3 linked regions of the Arabidopsis thaliana genome follow. The protein of the gene in region 2 interacts with the protein of the main gene of each other region in a pairwise test. Each region holds a gene or a part of one and is shown on either strand. Other genes may lie near its edges.

Region 1 (5,162 bases), on a different chromosome or scaffold from region 2:
TGCAAATTTGTTTTGTGCCCATTTTGAATTATATTCGATCCATTAATTATTCTCTTTTGTCTTTTCATTGGATCCATCTTGTTTTGCACTATCTCGTTTTTGTTAATTATAAATGCGTATAATTAGCTCTATATTTGAACTTTTAAAGTTGATGAAAAAATTATATTATCCCCATTTGGGTATATCGAACTCTTTCATTCCTTTAGTTTGTCCATATAACTTTGTAGGGACAAAAAGCAGATGCTATTTTTAGATTCAGTAAGTTATCTAGAAAAGGCTTAGAACATAATGGACGGGGCATTTTCTCTCCAGTAGTGCAGACATATATATTCCTTCTACTAATTAGATCAATTCACCAAATATAATAACAATTGAGTTAGTGGTTCTAATGATGTTAAATTTTTTTTATAAAAAAGTTGTCACAAAAGAAAAGTTAGTGGTTTTGACTTAGTTCTAGAATAAATTTACAAGATTGGTATATAATATATTCTATCTTTTCATATTAAATCATATCTAAAGTTTTTCACATAAATTAAGAAATAATAAAAAAAATATTTTGTTTATTTTATATATATAAATTGTTAAAATAAAACTAATTCAACTAGTAAAAAACATATTCTATTATATAAATGGTTACAATCAAATATATTTAAACTTTTGAAAACATCACTTGAAATAAGATAAACAAAATTCTCTGGATCATCATTTAAAACAAAACAGAGAAAGTATTCGATGAAATTAAAACAGTATAACCAACAGCTCAATAATTATTATACTTTTATAATTTTTTTTATTTTTTTTTGAAAAAGGGTTTTATATATGGTGAATTAATCTGATTATACTACATATAACTAAATTGGAAAGGGATAAGAATAAAAAAAAAGAAGTAGACGTCTCAAAACAAAGTTAAGCCTCCATGACGCACATGTAAAGCTTTCATCAATCATTTTAAATTTTGTTTTAGTTAAGAAGTAGCATGTCATTGAACCTTATTAATATCGCGTGTAAATACGGTATTTTGTTTTGTTTTCTGTATTTGCATATTGTCTATACGTAGTACAGTTTTGAAAATTCCATATACTTACATGCTCAGGTAAACAAGTTATACATCCACAAAAATAATTTCTGCAAAAAAGTATATTTACACATAATTTATTAGTCAACATGTTAACGTCTCAAAAGAGTTTCCAAAAACACAAAAAAATGATATTCTTTTGAATCGGGTACTAATTTTCATTTAAGATAATCAAGAACCCCCATGGTGTTCATTGTTTGTTATTACTTATTAGAGTGTTCTTCAACTTCAGCTAATTCATCTTTATCGTTGACTTTTCTACTTCTACAATTTCTTCTGCACTTGTACTCACAGTGATAGATATTAGATATACCATGATACAATTCTTTCATTTATTTGGTGTTTTTCACAAAGAAATGTATATATACCAATAATAATTACGATGGATACAGTAATCAATTATCACATCGAGTGTAGTATTTAAAGATTTTAGATTTTAAACAAACGTGTTAAAGAGAATGTTACAAATAGAAAGGTTGAAGATAGATTTTGCGTGCGACGTTTTATTATTAAGTAACCCCTCCTCGTTATACAACAGTAAATCTCATCTCTTGTGTAACAGATACTAAAAAATCAGGTTCATCAATAATCAAAAGAATGTTGTTCTTACCTCACATTGACACAACTGATGATAACTAGGGTTGTTAATACATCCGGTAACCATAAGAGGAGACCTCGAACTGATTTCTTTCGCTCCGATTCTCGTAACCGTACGGATATGAATCCCCGAAAAGGTGATCGGAAGTTGTCTTCCACGGATCAGAATCGTTGCTTTCCCAGCAAGAAACAGCAGCCCCACGATCTTGTTCATCTTCCTGACGTCTTTTGTTACGTAACACACAAGGAAAGTAACCTCCAAATATAACCTCACAGAGATCGGTCGCTTCTAATCCGTAACCAGACGGAACATACAAAGCTTTCACTTCTCCTTTATCTACGACTTCATATTCCTCATTTCCATAGCTTGAACTGTGATCTTTTTCTTCTTCTTTAGCTTCCTCATCCCCTTCTTCTTCTTCTTCATCATCATCATCACCATCATCTTCGTCCTCACTTTCTTCATCATAATCTTCGTCTTGTTCTTGTTCTTGCTCTTTAATGGTTTCTATTGGTTTGACTTCTTCTACCGGTTCAGCAAAAGACACACGTTTCTTGACAACATTCTTTTGACCACCATCATAAATTCCAAGAGGAACAGGAGCAATAATCTCAGGAGGAGAGGGAGCTTTAGCGTGAGGAGCGGTTGAACAAGGGTAACAAGTTTCCACCGATGGAGGAAGAGGTTTTCCATAGGTTGCAACAACATCGTAGCCACCACCGTACGGCGTGGGATCGTATTCATCGAATTCCGGCTCGTTGAAGTCAAGAGCAGAGGCTACAGAGCAATAGATACTAAACTGAGGAGGAGATTCGTAGGTTGTATAGAGATTCGGATCATAGAACAAGTGTTTAGGCTCAGACATGGTAGAAACAGAGTAAGCAACATATGCAGAGGTTGTCTCAGACTCGGATCCATTCCAGTTATAACAATTATAACTCATTGGATCATCATAACCAGAGTAAGCAACATATTCAGATTCAGATTCAGATTCATTCCAGTTGTAATAATTATAACTCATTGGTTCGAAACCAAGCTGCTGCTGCTGTTGATTGTAATGATAATGATTTTGATCGTAGAGATTATTAACCTGATTGTAATCGTAAGGACTCTGGTAATTCTCATAGAAGTTGGCCATTTGAGAGAGCTTGAAGGATGATCTTGAAAGTCTTTCTCTGCGGTTGATGAGAGAAAACGATTCAGCTGAGCAGTGATCTGTCGATTAAACTAATTTGGAATGTTTGGTTCCAAGTCCGTGAGAGAGTAGTGTATTATTTCCATGTGATGTGTTGATAAGGTAGGGACGACTGATGTAGATGGTGAGTTGGTGACGAGTGTGTGACCCTACAATTGTTTTGTCTTGTCTGAAATTGGTGTTGAGAAAACGTGGGGAAAAAGCAGTGGTTGACAAAGAATCAAACCAAACCAAAACCGAACATTACCTAAATAAACAAATGGTTCAAGTTGAATTTCATCCTAACATAACAATAGCTATTGTTCAAGGTGTGATGATACAGTATCATCATTTGGTACTAGACGATTTTACACACGACTTCAACAAGCTAAGTGCTAACCAAAAGATCAAAACTTGCAAACACTCCATTATCTTATTATAGTTTAAGAGGAATCAGAGGCTGCTGGTTCTTGTCTTGGTTTCCTCTGTTCAGGAGGTGGAGGACCGTCTCTTTTTCTTTCGTATCTCTTACTTTGATACTTAGTGTTATTGCGCTGCTTTGGTTGGTATGTTGGGTATGTGCACGGGATAATCTCTCCATTGATGTACTTGTCGCCTAAACCCGAGAAAGAACGATTCAATTATCAGAACATGGATACTGGGAGAGAGAGAGATCCTAGAAAGTTTAAAATCAGGCTTTGATGGGTTACCTCCATAGTCTTTGTTCTTGACATCTATGTAGGAGTCAGGCAAGACCCAGAGAACTCCAGGCAAACCTGTGAAAATAATGAAAAGACAGAACGATCAGTATCTTGAAGGTTTTCGACGAACTTTCAATAAGGGGACTAAGGCTCTTCTTGCTCACTAACTAACCCTTGAACTTCTCAGATGTTTCTTCGTCGATGGTGCATTGGAATCCAGTATATGTCGTGGTACTGAATGCATACATGTTCTTCTTCGCCTCTTCCATGCTGGAAAATAGACACAAGTACATATAATAAGCAAACACGATGAACTGGTTATGCTGGAAAATGGACACAAGTACATTAATTGGTTATCACATCAGCAGGATAGTGTAAACCGGAATCAAAGTTCTCTAAAATAGAGAGTAGCACCAAATAAACTAAAGTTTTAGTCATTAGTTGTGTAACACAAACTCGTTCCCTGCCATACCAAGAAATTTCTAGTCAGGAGTCCCAATCTAATGCTCTGCACAATTGTACACTCCTTTTACATACATTACTAGCTTACACTGTCCACATCAAGTTTTTAACAAACAGAAACCATGCACAATCACCTACAATTTATACATAGCTTGAAGAAAATATGCAAAAATAGATGCTTCTATTCTTCCCCCTAATTTCATTCATAATTACGCTAAAGAGCACAAAGTTTTAGATATCAAATCAGACACCAATGTTTTGTGTTCAATATGCAGCAATGTTCAATAAGTTTGCACATATCAAGAGACGAAAAACAAGTCAGCTAAAGATTACACCTGATATTAAGAACAAATTCTGGAACTAGGTCAACTTCAGAGCAAATTTAAAGCTGAAAGCTTTACTCAGCTCACTAAACCCTTACCCTAAAGTATCATCAAAAACCCTAATCTAACAAAAAACCAAATCTTCCTATACGCAACATTGGATTCAATCAAAGGACAAGTCCATTAGCAACACAAGTAAATGTCGTCTATTAGTTAACTAATTCAACAACGAAGAGAATCAATAAGAAAGCGAAAACGAACCTGCCAAGAACAGTAGCAAGAGTGTTAAGGTAAGTATCAATCATCTGATCCCTACTTGGCGCTGGATCTTTAGGAAACTCCATTACAATGAGCCAATGATTGTAATCGCAACCAGGAAGCATAATCGTCTCTCTCTGCTCATTGCTATTGCTCCGTTTCGACGAGTAATCCGAATCCACCGTCGCAGCTTTCACAATCGCCACTCGACGCCGAGACCCAGCGGTGGAGATGTTCCGGAGCAGAGGAGTCCATGAATCGCCAACGCGGATACCAGAGAGTGTAGAGAAACGATTCAGGTGGCTTACGGGGAGAAGAGTTTTGAGGAGAAGCGAGGAAGAAGAAGTTGTTGTGAAGGAAGCCATTGCAATTGCTGAAATCGAAGAGAGAGTTTTGGAGAAGATAAGATATATTTTTACTTACCTGCTTCGTGATGAGGATCCTATGAAACGACACCGTTTTTAATTAGGCCCATTAGATAGTTTGGGCCTGATAATTTCTTAAATCATTTTCTCATAATTTCAAGCGCCAAAAAAAAAGAAAAGTAAATTGGGAAAGAAAAAAAGAAAAC
Region 2 (5,992 bases):
AAAGCTCAAGAGGATCTAATACTAAATAGTCTCACTAATGCATATGTTTGATTTGTTTCAAATATTGATTGTTCTCTCTGACGCATTTGTTTGATTATTGTGCACTACCTGTTTGGGATGGGCATTCTATTGGTCTCACTATACCAAATTACCAACTTTGTGAAACTCACCATAACTTGTGTGATCCATAAAATCTTAGATTAATTACTGTTAAGTTTCATGAAATTTTAACTCAAAACAATTTGGCAATAAATAGATTGACATTGTATGTCCAAAAACCAAACTGAGTATTTAACAAAACCAACTATTTCCGACCAATGAATGCGTCTAAAATGTTTGTTTCCAACAAATTTCTGATCATTGATTTCGTCGGAACTAACACAAATAATAATTCGCATAATCATAATAATTCTCCTAATCAGTTCATAAACTTGAATGACAAGTTAATTTACTCATTTTACCATGACCATTAATTCATAAATTGAGTCACAAATTAATATCAAGATTTGACCATGTCCCTTATGCAAGAGGGGGTTGGAAAGCGATGGGTCTATAGTGTTACAATTAATTCTCTAGTATTCATATAACCAAAACACAATTATAATATTTTCACATTAAAGATAAATTAAAAACATCCATATAATGTTTCACATTTAATAATATACATATTTTAAATATTTTGTTAACATTTAAAATTATGATTTTTCTATCATTTTTTTTATTTTTTAAACTACTTTGAATCATCATATAATACATAACACTAATTAAAATCTAATTTTTTCTGGATATATTGTGATTCGGATGTTTGAAAACAGCCATATATTACTCACATAATGAAATAAAATTATTTGTGTTCAAAGTCTCACATCAGCTAAAACTTTGTGTCCAAAATCTCATAAATAAGACCAAATTGAACCCAAAGAAATATGAGTGAGTAGGAATCCTAACTTAACAAACATCCAAATTTAAATATTTGTTCAGTTTAATTCGGTTCTTTAGTCAAACCGTTTAATTATACCAGATATCATAAATTCTAAACTTTTTAAAAAATTAAAATATTATAATTGATCTATTTAAAGTGTATAAAAACTTCAAAATATTATCAACGTTTAACTTATAAAAAGTTTAAAATATCACGGTATGGGTTATATGGTTTGACGAGTTTGAATCTTCATTAATATAAATTTAAATATCATTAACTCGGTGGTACAACATGGGTAAGTCATCATTTTAATATTTTGTTAACACTAGCAATATTATAATGATATGTCAAGTTAAATTGATTCAATTATGATTATGTATTAAAACAAGATATATAAGTATTAGTTTTCTAGGTATCTGCAATATTAGAAACCAGATATCCAAAAGTCACGGATCTGGATTGTTAAAGCACAGTTCTGAATACTTTTCAAATTCTAGGATATCCGGATCCATTCTACCAATTACAATCCTGCAGAAGCCTTGTTGGCCACACAATCGACACAAGAGTTAGCTAGCCAAAAAGTGCCTTCAACTTAAGAAGATGCAAACCGGAAAGAAAAAAACATATCTTTGGTCCGAAGGAAATCATGTTTTATTATCAAATTTAACCACCAACAACTACAAACCAAATTTACAACAACAACAACCAAAAATAAAAACACATACACACAAGTGATAGCAGCAGACAACACAAAACATAACAAAAACAGAAGCTTCCCAAAATTCCGAAATTCAAAATCCTCTTTAATTTCTCATCATATAGTAGTCGAGTTACGTTGGCATGGTTTCTAATAGTTATTATGCGGAGTTTTAAATCTTCATCAGTTGTATTCTTTCGAATTTTGCGAACTCAGAATCGACTGCAAATAAACATGTTTAATTAGATCAAATGGTTAGAGATTCCGAGCTTGCCTTGTAACATGACATGACAACAATGATTTGGCTATAAATTACTTGTAAGTTACTAGTGAGAAACATAGCAAACCAATTTTCAAGTATACCACAGTGTTAGTTTTGACTAACATTAGGTCTAATTCGGTGAAGTCAATACTAATCCAAAGTTTCATCTATCAATGCGAATAGATTTAAAATTATTGAGGAGCACAAACAGATTCAAAATGTTAAATCATTCAAAAACATTTAGTAATAGAGCAAATTATTATGCATTTACCATATTTCATTTTTTGTGCTACAGTATATCCACAAATTAAAAAGTGATGTGATTAATACATACCTTCACTTTAGGATAAGGGAAGCTAGTTTTAGCACCACCTCTGCTTCCGAAACTGAACTTTGATTTCTTGTCATTAGATTTTAAGATCTGAAAAGAGCAGGTCAAATCCTCAGACACACTCATCATCGCACCTGCATTGTCAAATTCCCCACAGTAATTCGGCGCAGAGAATATCGTTACGAGCTGCTTATTCGCAAAGAACTCGAATCCATCTTCAACAACCTGTTACAAAATCGTTGCTTGTGTCAAAAGGAAACACGTTAAAAATGTTTCTTTGGGCACAAGGAACAATAAACAAACCTGGTGAGCCCTACAAATGAGGTCAAGATCGAGTCTTTTAAGAAATCCAGAAACTATATCTGATCCAAAAGTGTAAGAAACTCCGCGATCGTTAGGCCCCCAACCTCTAACATCTTTATCAGGATCAGACCACAAGAGATCACAGAGTAAACCACGATCAGGAATATCCGTTGGACGACGAATATCCCTAATCTGCCTCAAGCTTAGCAGCTCCGGGGAGAGCCCACCATGCATACAAAAAATCCGCTCATCGATGAGTGCAGCGACGGGGAGACAGTTGAAGCAATCAGTGAAGATTCGCCAAATCTTGACACTGAATCTACGTTTACACTCGTCATAGAAGCCGTAAATACGATTGATTGATGCACTTTCATGGTTTCCTCTGAGAAGGAAGAAGTTTTCAGGGAACTTAATCTTGTAAGCAAGTAAAAGACAAATCGTTTCGAGGCTTTGCTTGCCGCGATCGACATAATCTCCAAGAAACAAGTAGTTTGAATTAGGAGGGTATCCGCCATGTTCGAATAGTCTCAAGAGATCCGGATATTGTCCATGAATGTCCCCTGTTTATTATTTGTTTAACCAAAAGATTACATAGGAGCACAATCTCAGAAAAGAGTCAGAGAGAAACAGAGAGAAACGTACCACATATTTTAACAGGAGCTTCAAGTTCCAAGAGATTTGGTTGTCTCAAGAAGATATCTCTAGAGACGAAACAGAGCTGTTTGATCTCTGTTTCAGACAACTGAACAATCTTTCCTGGTTTTTCTCTAGCTTCAAGCAACCTATTGATCACCGAGTTTAAAGTACCAGGATCCATTTATAAAACCTCAAGAAACAGAGCAACAATGAGACAAAACAACAACAACGCCTAGAAGCTTTATAATATACAAAAGCTATTGACAATATGGAATAAATTTAAAAAGTATGGAGCTTTTATGTTCTTTTATGCTTGCTCTTTGAGAAAAAGAATGGTGATTGTCAAATTCAAGAAGGGCTTTATAAAGCCGCGTTTAAGAATATATTCTTCATACCTTTTTAGCAAAAGTCACATGTGTTCATACCTACCTACATTGTTCTAACTTCAACTAAATCATATAATAATCAGATTCTAGCTAATTTAGTAACACATTGTTTGTGTGTGTGTTAAGCTTCACAGGATTGAATCCTGTCCGGTACGTCATGATTCAAATTTAAGATCTTTCCGCCGGTACTTTGAGTGCGAAAAACGCTCTTTCTTCTTCTTCTAGTATCGATGTTTTTGGATTCGTCCGCGTCATATTAAGCAACTTGGCTATTTACAAAAAACATATTCTTCTTCCTTTGTAGCCAAAAGCCATGGGTAAAAACCTACCCTAATTGTTCTAACTTCAACTACATCTAATAACCAAAAATGTTAGCTATATTTTCTCTTTTATGGTCAAAACATATTAGCTAGTTTAGACACTTTCTTTGTGTTGAGCTTTTTAGGCTTGAATCTAATCGAATTCAAGATACTTTTGCGTGTAAGTAGAGCACAAAAAACGTTCTTTCTCCATCACAGTATCAATGTTTTTGGATTCAGAGTAATTCACAAAACCTTGTTCGTTGATTTGTTCGCATCATCTTAAGCAACTTGGCAATGACAAAGAACATATTCGTTATGAAACTACCGGATGTGAGAGGACACCTCAGGAATAACAAGGAAAGAGAGAGCTCGGAGAATATTAGTTTGGCTTTTGCCTTTTTTCTTCTATTAGAACCAAAAGATATAAAGGAAAGATTCCAAGTTTAGGAGGAAACGAAGAGTGATGCCTCATCTTATGACTTCTATAGATCATTTCATTTTCTTAGCTGTATCTTATTAGACATAGGTACTTAGAAAAAAAAAAAAAACTTAAACAAGATTCATTCATGTACTCACAAAATCCAATATTTAAATGAATAAAACTTCTCAGTCATAAACAGCAAGCTTCTGATACTCCTCACCTTTAATGGCTAACAACATGACATCTTCAGGATTCACAATCCCACCTTCCTCAAGAAACAGAGTCAGTAGATTCTTCGAAAACCCGCTAACCATAGCTACACCTTTCTGCTTAGACACCACGGGTGTAGCTGACGAGTCTCTTAAGTTCCAAAATACAATTTCAGGAACATTCTGAAAACCCTTCTCTTTATACTTCCTCTGAACAACTTCATAATCCGTCTCCCATTTCTCAAAACTCTCCGGGACACTCTCGTAGTCACTCTCCAAGTTACTCGCGTAGTCACTCATTTCCGAATGGCTGTCTACTCTTGCATCATCAAACTCCATGTCACTGAACACAAACAACCGCTTGATCATCTGTTCATCGGTTAAGTTATTCTCGACAGCAACCTCTAGAATCCGATCAAACACCTTCTGGAAATCTGTGTTGATTCCAAAATCCATTTCTCTAACAAACTTAGTCTTCTCTCTCAGACTCGAACCCGTGACAACATGAAGCTGCGGGTTTTCGCTAAAAGTGATAACTTTCCCTTTCCACGGCTCTTCATTAAGTTCCGAAACCAATAACCCTAACGCAATACAAACATTCATAGGTGTACCAGCCATGCTTCCCGAGACATCACAAATCGCCAATGAGTTCTTCAACTTCCCTTTCTTGGCAAGATCATCAACCATTCTCGCCCATTGAAGCTCTGCTACTTCTTCACCTTCACTATCATTCAAAAGCTGACTGATAATCTGATGAGGAAGCAACGCACCAGCCGCCATCTTCTTCTTCCCGGATTTCACATCCTCCAAAAACTCGGTGAACCTCTCGCTATCGTGTTCCGCAAAGCGTGAACTATAATTCTGCATGGCTATAGAAGGAACTCTATTGTACTTCAACAGATTCCATTCCTTGGCACTCATAGACACCTCTGGCAACTCAAGAGCTTTATGTAACGGGACAAGAACTTCTTTTCTCAACCTATCTCTAATCCTATATGCATAATGCACTTCTTCGATACCTTCTTCGTATTCCTCTCTAAGGAACATTCTTCTAGCAATAGCCTCACATATCAAAGTAGTCTTATCATACGAAGAATCAACAGAAGGACACCATTTCGAAGCTAAACTAATCTTGTTCAAATTATCTGTATTCAAATACTCCAAATCTGATTTCAATAATTCCGCAAACAAATCGGCAATTTGATCAAAGAGTAATCTGTAATTAGCATCAGAGTTATACCTATCTAGAGCCTTTTTCGCCTTTTCGAACTCTCTCTGTTTCCGTAAAGCCCTAGCCTTGACTTTACCAACAGGACCACCAGTCTCCTCCGCGGTTTCGAGAATCCGATCTTCCATGTCACCGGATATGGTAGACTTTTTCTCACTATCCCCTTTGAACTTCCTCTGAATCCTCTTCCTCCAAACCCGAGTCTTACCTCTCTCCGTCTGCTGACCTTCCAAGATCCGAAGCAGAATCTCAGGTAAATCTTTGAAATACCCAAAATCGACAAGAGTAGGGATAT
Region 3 (5,247 bases), on a different chromosome or scaffold from region 2:
TGGAGACCATATTCTGAATACGTAAGTAATCAACAGTACTATAGACTTCTTCATCATTTCTTCATGCCAGGCTTGATTGTGGAGTTTGACAAGTGGTTGACTGGTTGTTGCAGGTTTGATGAACGTATCAGTTCATTTGCTGAACAAAAGTTCACGCGAGATGGTATTGATGTTCAGACTGGAATGCGTGTAATGTCTGTGACTGATAAAGATATCACAGTGAAAGTCAAATCAAGTGGAGAACTCGTAAGTATTCCTCATGGATTGATATTGTGGTCCACTGGAGTTGGAACCCGTCCAGTTATCAGCGACTTCATGGAGCAAGTTGGCCAAGGAGGCAGACGTGCGGTGGCAACTAACGAGTGGTTACAAGTGACAGGATGTGAGAATGTATATGCAGTTGGCGATTGTGCTTCCATAGCTCAACGAAAAATCTTGGTCTGTGAACCCCATTAGACTGTTGATGCTATTCCCTTCTTTTTTTCATATGCATGCTAAATCTTGATAGATTCTTGTGAATCTTAATTTAGGGGGATATTGCAAACATATTCAAAGCTGCAGATGCGGACAACTCAGGAACCTTGACCATGGAAGAGTTAGAAGGCGTGGTTGATGATATTATTGTGAGGTATCCGCAGGTGGAGCTCTACCTGAAAAGCAAGCATATGAGGCATATTAACGATCTGCTGGCAGATTCTGAAGGAAATGCAAGGAAAGAAGTAGACATTGAGGCATTCAAATTGGCTCTCTCGGAGGCTGATTCACAGATGAAAACCCTGCCTGCAACTGCTCAGGTACTTGGTGAATTCACCTATGCGTAGAATCGTGGGTTTTATCTAGGATGTCAGGGTCAATGGTCTGCTTGTTTGTTTGCATAGGTCGCTGCCCAGCAAGGTGCTTATCTTGCAAAATGCTTCAACAGGATGGAGCAGTGTAAAGAGCTACCTGAAGGTCCTAAGCGCTTCAGAACTGGCGGGCATCATCAGTTTCGCCCCTTCCAGTATGCCTAATCTAATGAACTCAGGACCTTGCATCCTCATAAACTTCCAAGATATAGAGATGAAAGCTCTTCGCTTGATTACAGGTACAAGCACTTTGGACAATTTGCTCCACTAGGAGGGGACCAAGCAGCAGCTGAACTACCTGGAGACTGGGTTTCAGCTGGAAAAAGCGCCCAGTGGCTCTGGTATTCTGTTTATGCCAGGTAAACGCTGAGAAACTCTTTTATTCATTATAGTAAATGCACAGAATTTGAAACATGAAACATGAATGATGCAGCAAGCAAGTTAGCTGGCGAACGAGGGCTCTGGTGGTGTCGGACTGGACAAGGAGGTACATATTCGGGAGGGATTCAAGCCGCATCTGACTCAATACTGCATTTTGTAATGTGTTTAAGAGGAAACCAAGATACAGTCTCTCTCTTTTTCGTTTGTTTTTGGTGTAAATTTCACAAAGCTGTGGCCAAACTTCTTGTTTGTGAGTGGCAAAGCAAAAACCTTTTGAAAGAATCTTTCTTCATGAAGCTGACATTTACAAAAGATAACAAAAACTCACAATCTTAATGTGTATTTAGAAAAGACATTAAGCATTCCAACAAAGATTCTTGCTCTGCGAGCCGAAAAACAAAATCAAAACCAAACAAATTCACAATCAAGTAACCACAACAAGAGTTGTGGATTTTACTCAAATTGATAAGCGGATCATTCATTCTTCAAACTTCAGAAGCTGGCAAAAAGTGAAGTTACGATCCTTGGCTTGTAATTCTGCAACTCTCTTAGCAGCACCTGAATCACGAGGGCTCCCTCCCACACGACGAAGCGTTCTGATCTTAGGTAGCTCCTTAACTATAGGAGACTCGTCACCGTTCTCACCACTGCTATACAGATCAACTTCACTTGGAATCTCCCATCTCTTCTTCACTCTCCCTTCACTCTTGTTACTTTCATCAGAAGCTCTTCTCTTCTCCGACCTCTTATGATTCTCTTTCTCTTCATCCTCAGGCAACGACCTTTTCCTAACATCTTTCTCTCCAGTCTGCGTTTTACCCATTTGACTGTACCTACTAGCCACAACTCTTCCTGGTTTCAATGGTTTCCTTAAAGAAACATTCTTTTCATCTTCTTTGAATAGCCTCTTAGGCTGGATTGTTAAGAGAACTCCTTCTTCTTTCTTCACAGCTCTCTTTGACCCCACCGTCGTAGCTGCTTGCTTCTGAGCTGCCGTCATTTTCGCTTTGCGAGATCTCGGACTCAGACTCAAACTCGTTCTTCCTTTACCTCGTGTCGTCACTTGACCTTCTTCGATTCCAGGAAGCTTAAAGAAACAAGACTTGCGTCGATTCTGAGCTGATTGAAGAGGAGTCACAGTTTCAGATTTCTTCGCGGAATTGAATATCTCCGCTGGTCCAAGACTAACGCCTCTACGAGTGGCTCTTGATTTCGATCCTGTAAAACACGAATCGTCGAATTTCACTTGTTTCTGAGATGATTCCATGAACTTCGCCGGAACGATTCTTCCACGTATAGCAATGCTTCTTGCGGTTTGCTCCGCCTTCTCTAATCGGAGCGACTCCAATTTCGTCGATAATCGTCCGATCTCCTTCTCTACTTCTTCGATCTCTGCATCGATATCTCGCTTTTTACTCCGATCTGCGGCGGATTTGGTCTTCACGGTCTTGGATTTTGCTGACGGAGCTTCGGTGATCGAGACTGAGGATTGGAGCGAAGAGGAAACCGAAATCGGAAACTGATTCTCCTTGCTACAATCGGAATCGAATGATTCGTTGAGGTGAGACCAAGAAGAAGCTTCGATGGCGGAAGTGATTTGAGAATCTCCATCGTCGAAGGCAGCGTTGTTCCAGATCTGAAGCTTTGGAGGAGCGTTAAGCGTTTCTGTTGCCTCAATTGATGTCATATTCAGAGCGATTTGATCTTCTTCTACGAGAAATTTAGGGTTTGGAGAAAGAATTGGACACTTGAGGAGGAAGAAGGAAGAAGCGAGTATTTCTTGAGGATTATTTGACCGTTGGAAATGAAGGAGACGTTACTCATTACTCCATTAAGGAGCGTCGTCAGATTTGGACCGTTGGATTAAGCAGCCACGCTCCGATTTCATTCAAAGCCAAGTTACATAAATGGGCCAAATAGCCCAAGAGCTGATCTCGTTGTGGGCCTCTTGTTCCTCGCACAATTGGCCCGACGAATATAACATTTCAGTTTGCTCGTAAGATGAATTATAGGACCTACCTCAATAATGACAACCACAATAGATAAATAAATAAAAGCATTATGGAGTGACTGACTTGTCTGTCTCTTTGGATAACGATGGTTTTGGAATATTTTAGTACTATTGTTTAATTTAGAATCGTATTTTACTGTGGATAAAGTTGAAATTAGTGGTAATCGCAATCAAGATTCCAGATTGTAATAAAGTTGGTGAGCGAACGATGTTTTAAGATATAGAAAATGAACAGAGTTCTCTCATAATCCAAGGCTTGCTTTGATCTTTTAGAACATTCTAATATTCACAGAGATGTAACCAAACTATACAGTTGCATCCAGAAAATCCGACTCAAGCGATTTCATAAGCACGAGTCAACCACCACAGATGAACCAAACTATATACAGTTTGCATCAGAAAAAAATTCTGATTCAGCGGAGTTCATGAGCGAGCCACGACCATCATTATCTGAATTTAGCCTTGAGCCCAGCAGTTGAGGTACATGACTTGTCGGAGAGACTCATCGGGAGTGGAAGAAGAGGTACGACGTCTTTCTTCCGAAGGGAGAGAGTCGCCGGTTAGATCTGCGGCGGCGAGAGGACGGAGATCGGAGGAAAGTCTTCGTTGGAGACGGTGAGCAGAGGTGAGACCGCTTTTTAACTTGACGCCGTGATCGGCGTTTCCTTGAACAGCTACGAACGATGCTGCCATCCACACTTTGTTCAGATAACTCATTCTTTAATAGTGATTATATGTTGTAGATCCTTTCTTCGTAAATTGGAAACCTTTGAAAGATTTGAGAAGCTTTTGTTAAAAAGGAAGATTAGTTCGATTTTTGTAGGAAGGAAATGAAGAGATGAGGTTGGTACTTATAGCCAGAGGGATATTGGGGTGAGGGTAAATAGGTAAATTCAAAAAGATCTAAAATAAGCGATACCGTGCACAATGGATTAGTGGGATCCAGGTATAGGAAAGCGATACGGTACGATATGGTTAAGTTATCGTGAAATATCTCGGGGGAAATTGAAAGTGCTGAGTAATGAGGAAACAAGTGGCGAGCTTAGAGGGTCCTATCCTCAAGATGAGTCACCCTTGCTTCAATTATCGACCCCTTCATGTGGGCCCCATTCTTAATTATTTTTGTAATTTGGTTTTTTTTTTTTTTTTTTTTTGTTGAATGTAAATTTGTTTTGTTTTGTTTTGTTTTATACGAAAATGAAAAACCGATAGGTCGGCCTAAAACCAAAATGGAACGATGGTTTTATGTGAGGGGTGGGGTGGTGCCTAGAGACTAGGATAGAGTCCCACGAGGGGATTGGTTACGTGTTAACCGATTATTGGGTCATCACGTGCCCCTTCACGTGATATTACTGTCCATCAATACTTCTTGTCCCTTTGCTTCCGGTTAATTTATTATTAGTAGTGAGTATTTGTTTTTACTTTGATTTGCTAAGTGCTATCTTTAATGACTAATCCAACCAATTATATGTGAGTAGTTTAATTTTATTTTATTTTATTTTATTTTATCACCAATATATTAATGAGTAGTTTTAACTATCATATTCTTCTGTCATTCTAATTTGAAAACGTTTATTAGTGGAATGAGTGAATCTTGTGATAGTTGGACTTGGCTTTGTGAGGATGTGGGCCGTTCACATATTATGCTTATCCCACTTATACTAGATAAGCCCTGTCTGCTTCTTCTACTAATCTAAGCATATGTCTATCACATTTATGCTCATGTCAAACTATCTTATTGCATCACATATCTTCTTGCATTTGGCTATAACCAGTTCTACATTTTCTTTTCCCCGATTCTTATATGTCAAATTTGAATCCGTCAGATAATACTATAATAACCATGACTATTAACTTGTATAGACTGTATATCTCAATGTTTGATGGTCAAGTTAAAACGCCATTGCACCTTGAGAAAAGAAAATGCATGTTGATCAGATCATAGCTACGCGGAATCACATTCCTTTGACTTCACTTGCTTTTTTTTCCAGGTGATTCTCTGTATGACTA

What was found. The genes of interacting proteins can lie anywhere in the genome.
Region 1: the proteins of TOPP6 (region 2) and AT1G11440 interact in a two-hybrid assay, tested with the Arabidopsis thaliana proteins (one large-scale study listed by BioGRID).
Region 3: the proteins of TOPP6 (region 2) and AT4G28230 interact in a two-hybrid assay, tested with the Arabidopsis thaliana proteins (one large-scale study listed by BioGRID).

Annotation. Positions count from the first base shown.
Region 1 is NC_003070.9:3,847,067-3,852,228, reverse strand, and holds AT1G11440 (uncharacterized protein), read right to left. Parts: upstream 3,029-5,162; 5' UTR 2,812-3,028; coding exon 1,720-2,811; 3' UTR 1,494-1,719; downstream 1-1,493. Other genes in the region: MORF9 (plastid developmental protein DAG), read right to left, coding at 3,291-3,463, 3,558-3,623, 3,721-3,818, 4,595-4,956.
Region 2 is NC_003076.8:17,418,495-17,424,486, forward strand, and holds TOPP6 (type one serine/threonine protein phosphatase 6), read right to left. Parts: upstream 3,489-5,992; 5' UTR 3,333-3,488; coding exon 3,158-3,332; intron 3,076-3,157; coding exon 2,516-3,075; intron 2,438-2,515; coding exon 2,216-2,437; coding exon of another isoform or gene 2,189-2,215; exon of another isoform or gene 1,842-2,188; coding exon 1,803-1,841; 3' UTR 1,451-1,802; coding exon of another isoform or gene 1,436-1,450; 3' UTR 1,296-1,435; downstream 1-1,295. Other genes in the region: AT5G43390 (plant/protein), read right to left, coding at 4,446-5,992. UniProt on the Arabidopsis thaliana protein: Serine/threonine-protein phosphatase that possesses phosphatase activity toward para-nitrophenyl phosphate (pNPP) in vitro.
Region 3 is NC_003075.7:13,994,286-13,999,532, forward strand, and holds AT4G28230 (uncharacterized protein), read right to left. Parts: upstream 3,023-5,247; 5' UTR 2,914-3,022; coding exon 1,705-2,913; 3' UTR 1,494-1,704; downstream 1-1,493. Other genes in the region: NDB1 (NAD(P)H dehydrogenase B1), read left to right, coding at 1-21, 114-438, 531-794, 879-1,000, 1,085-1,204, 1,279-1,366; AT4G28240 (Wound-responsive family protein), read right to left, coding at 3,694-3,954.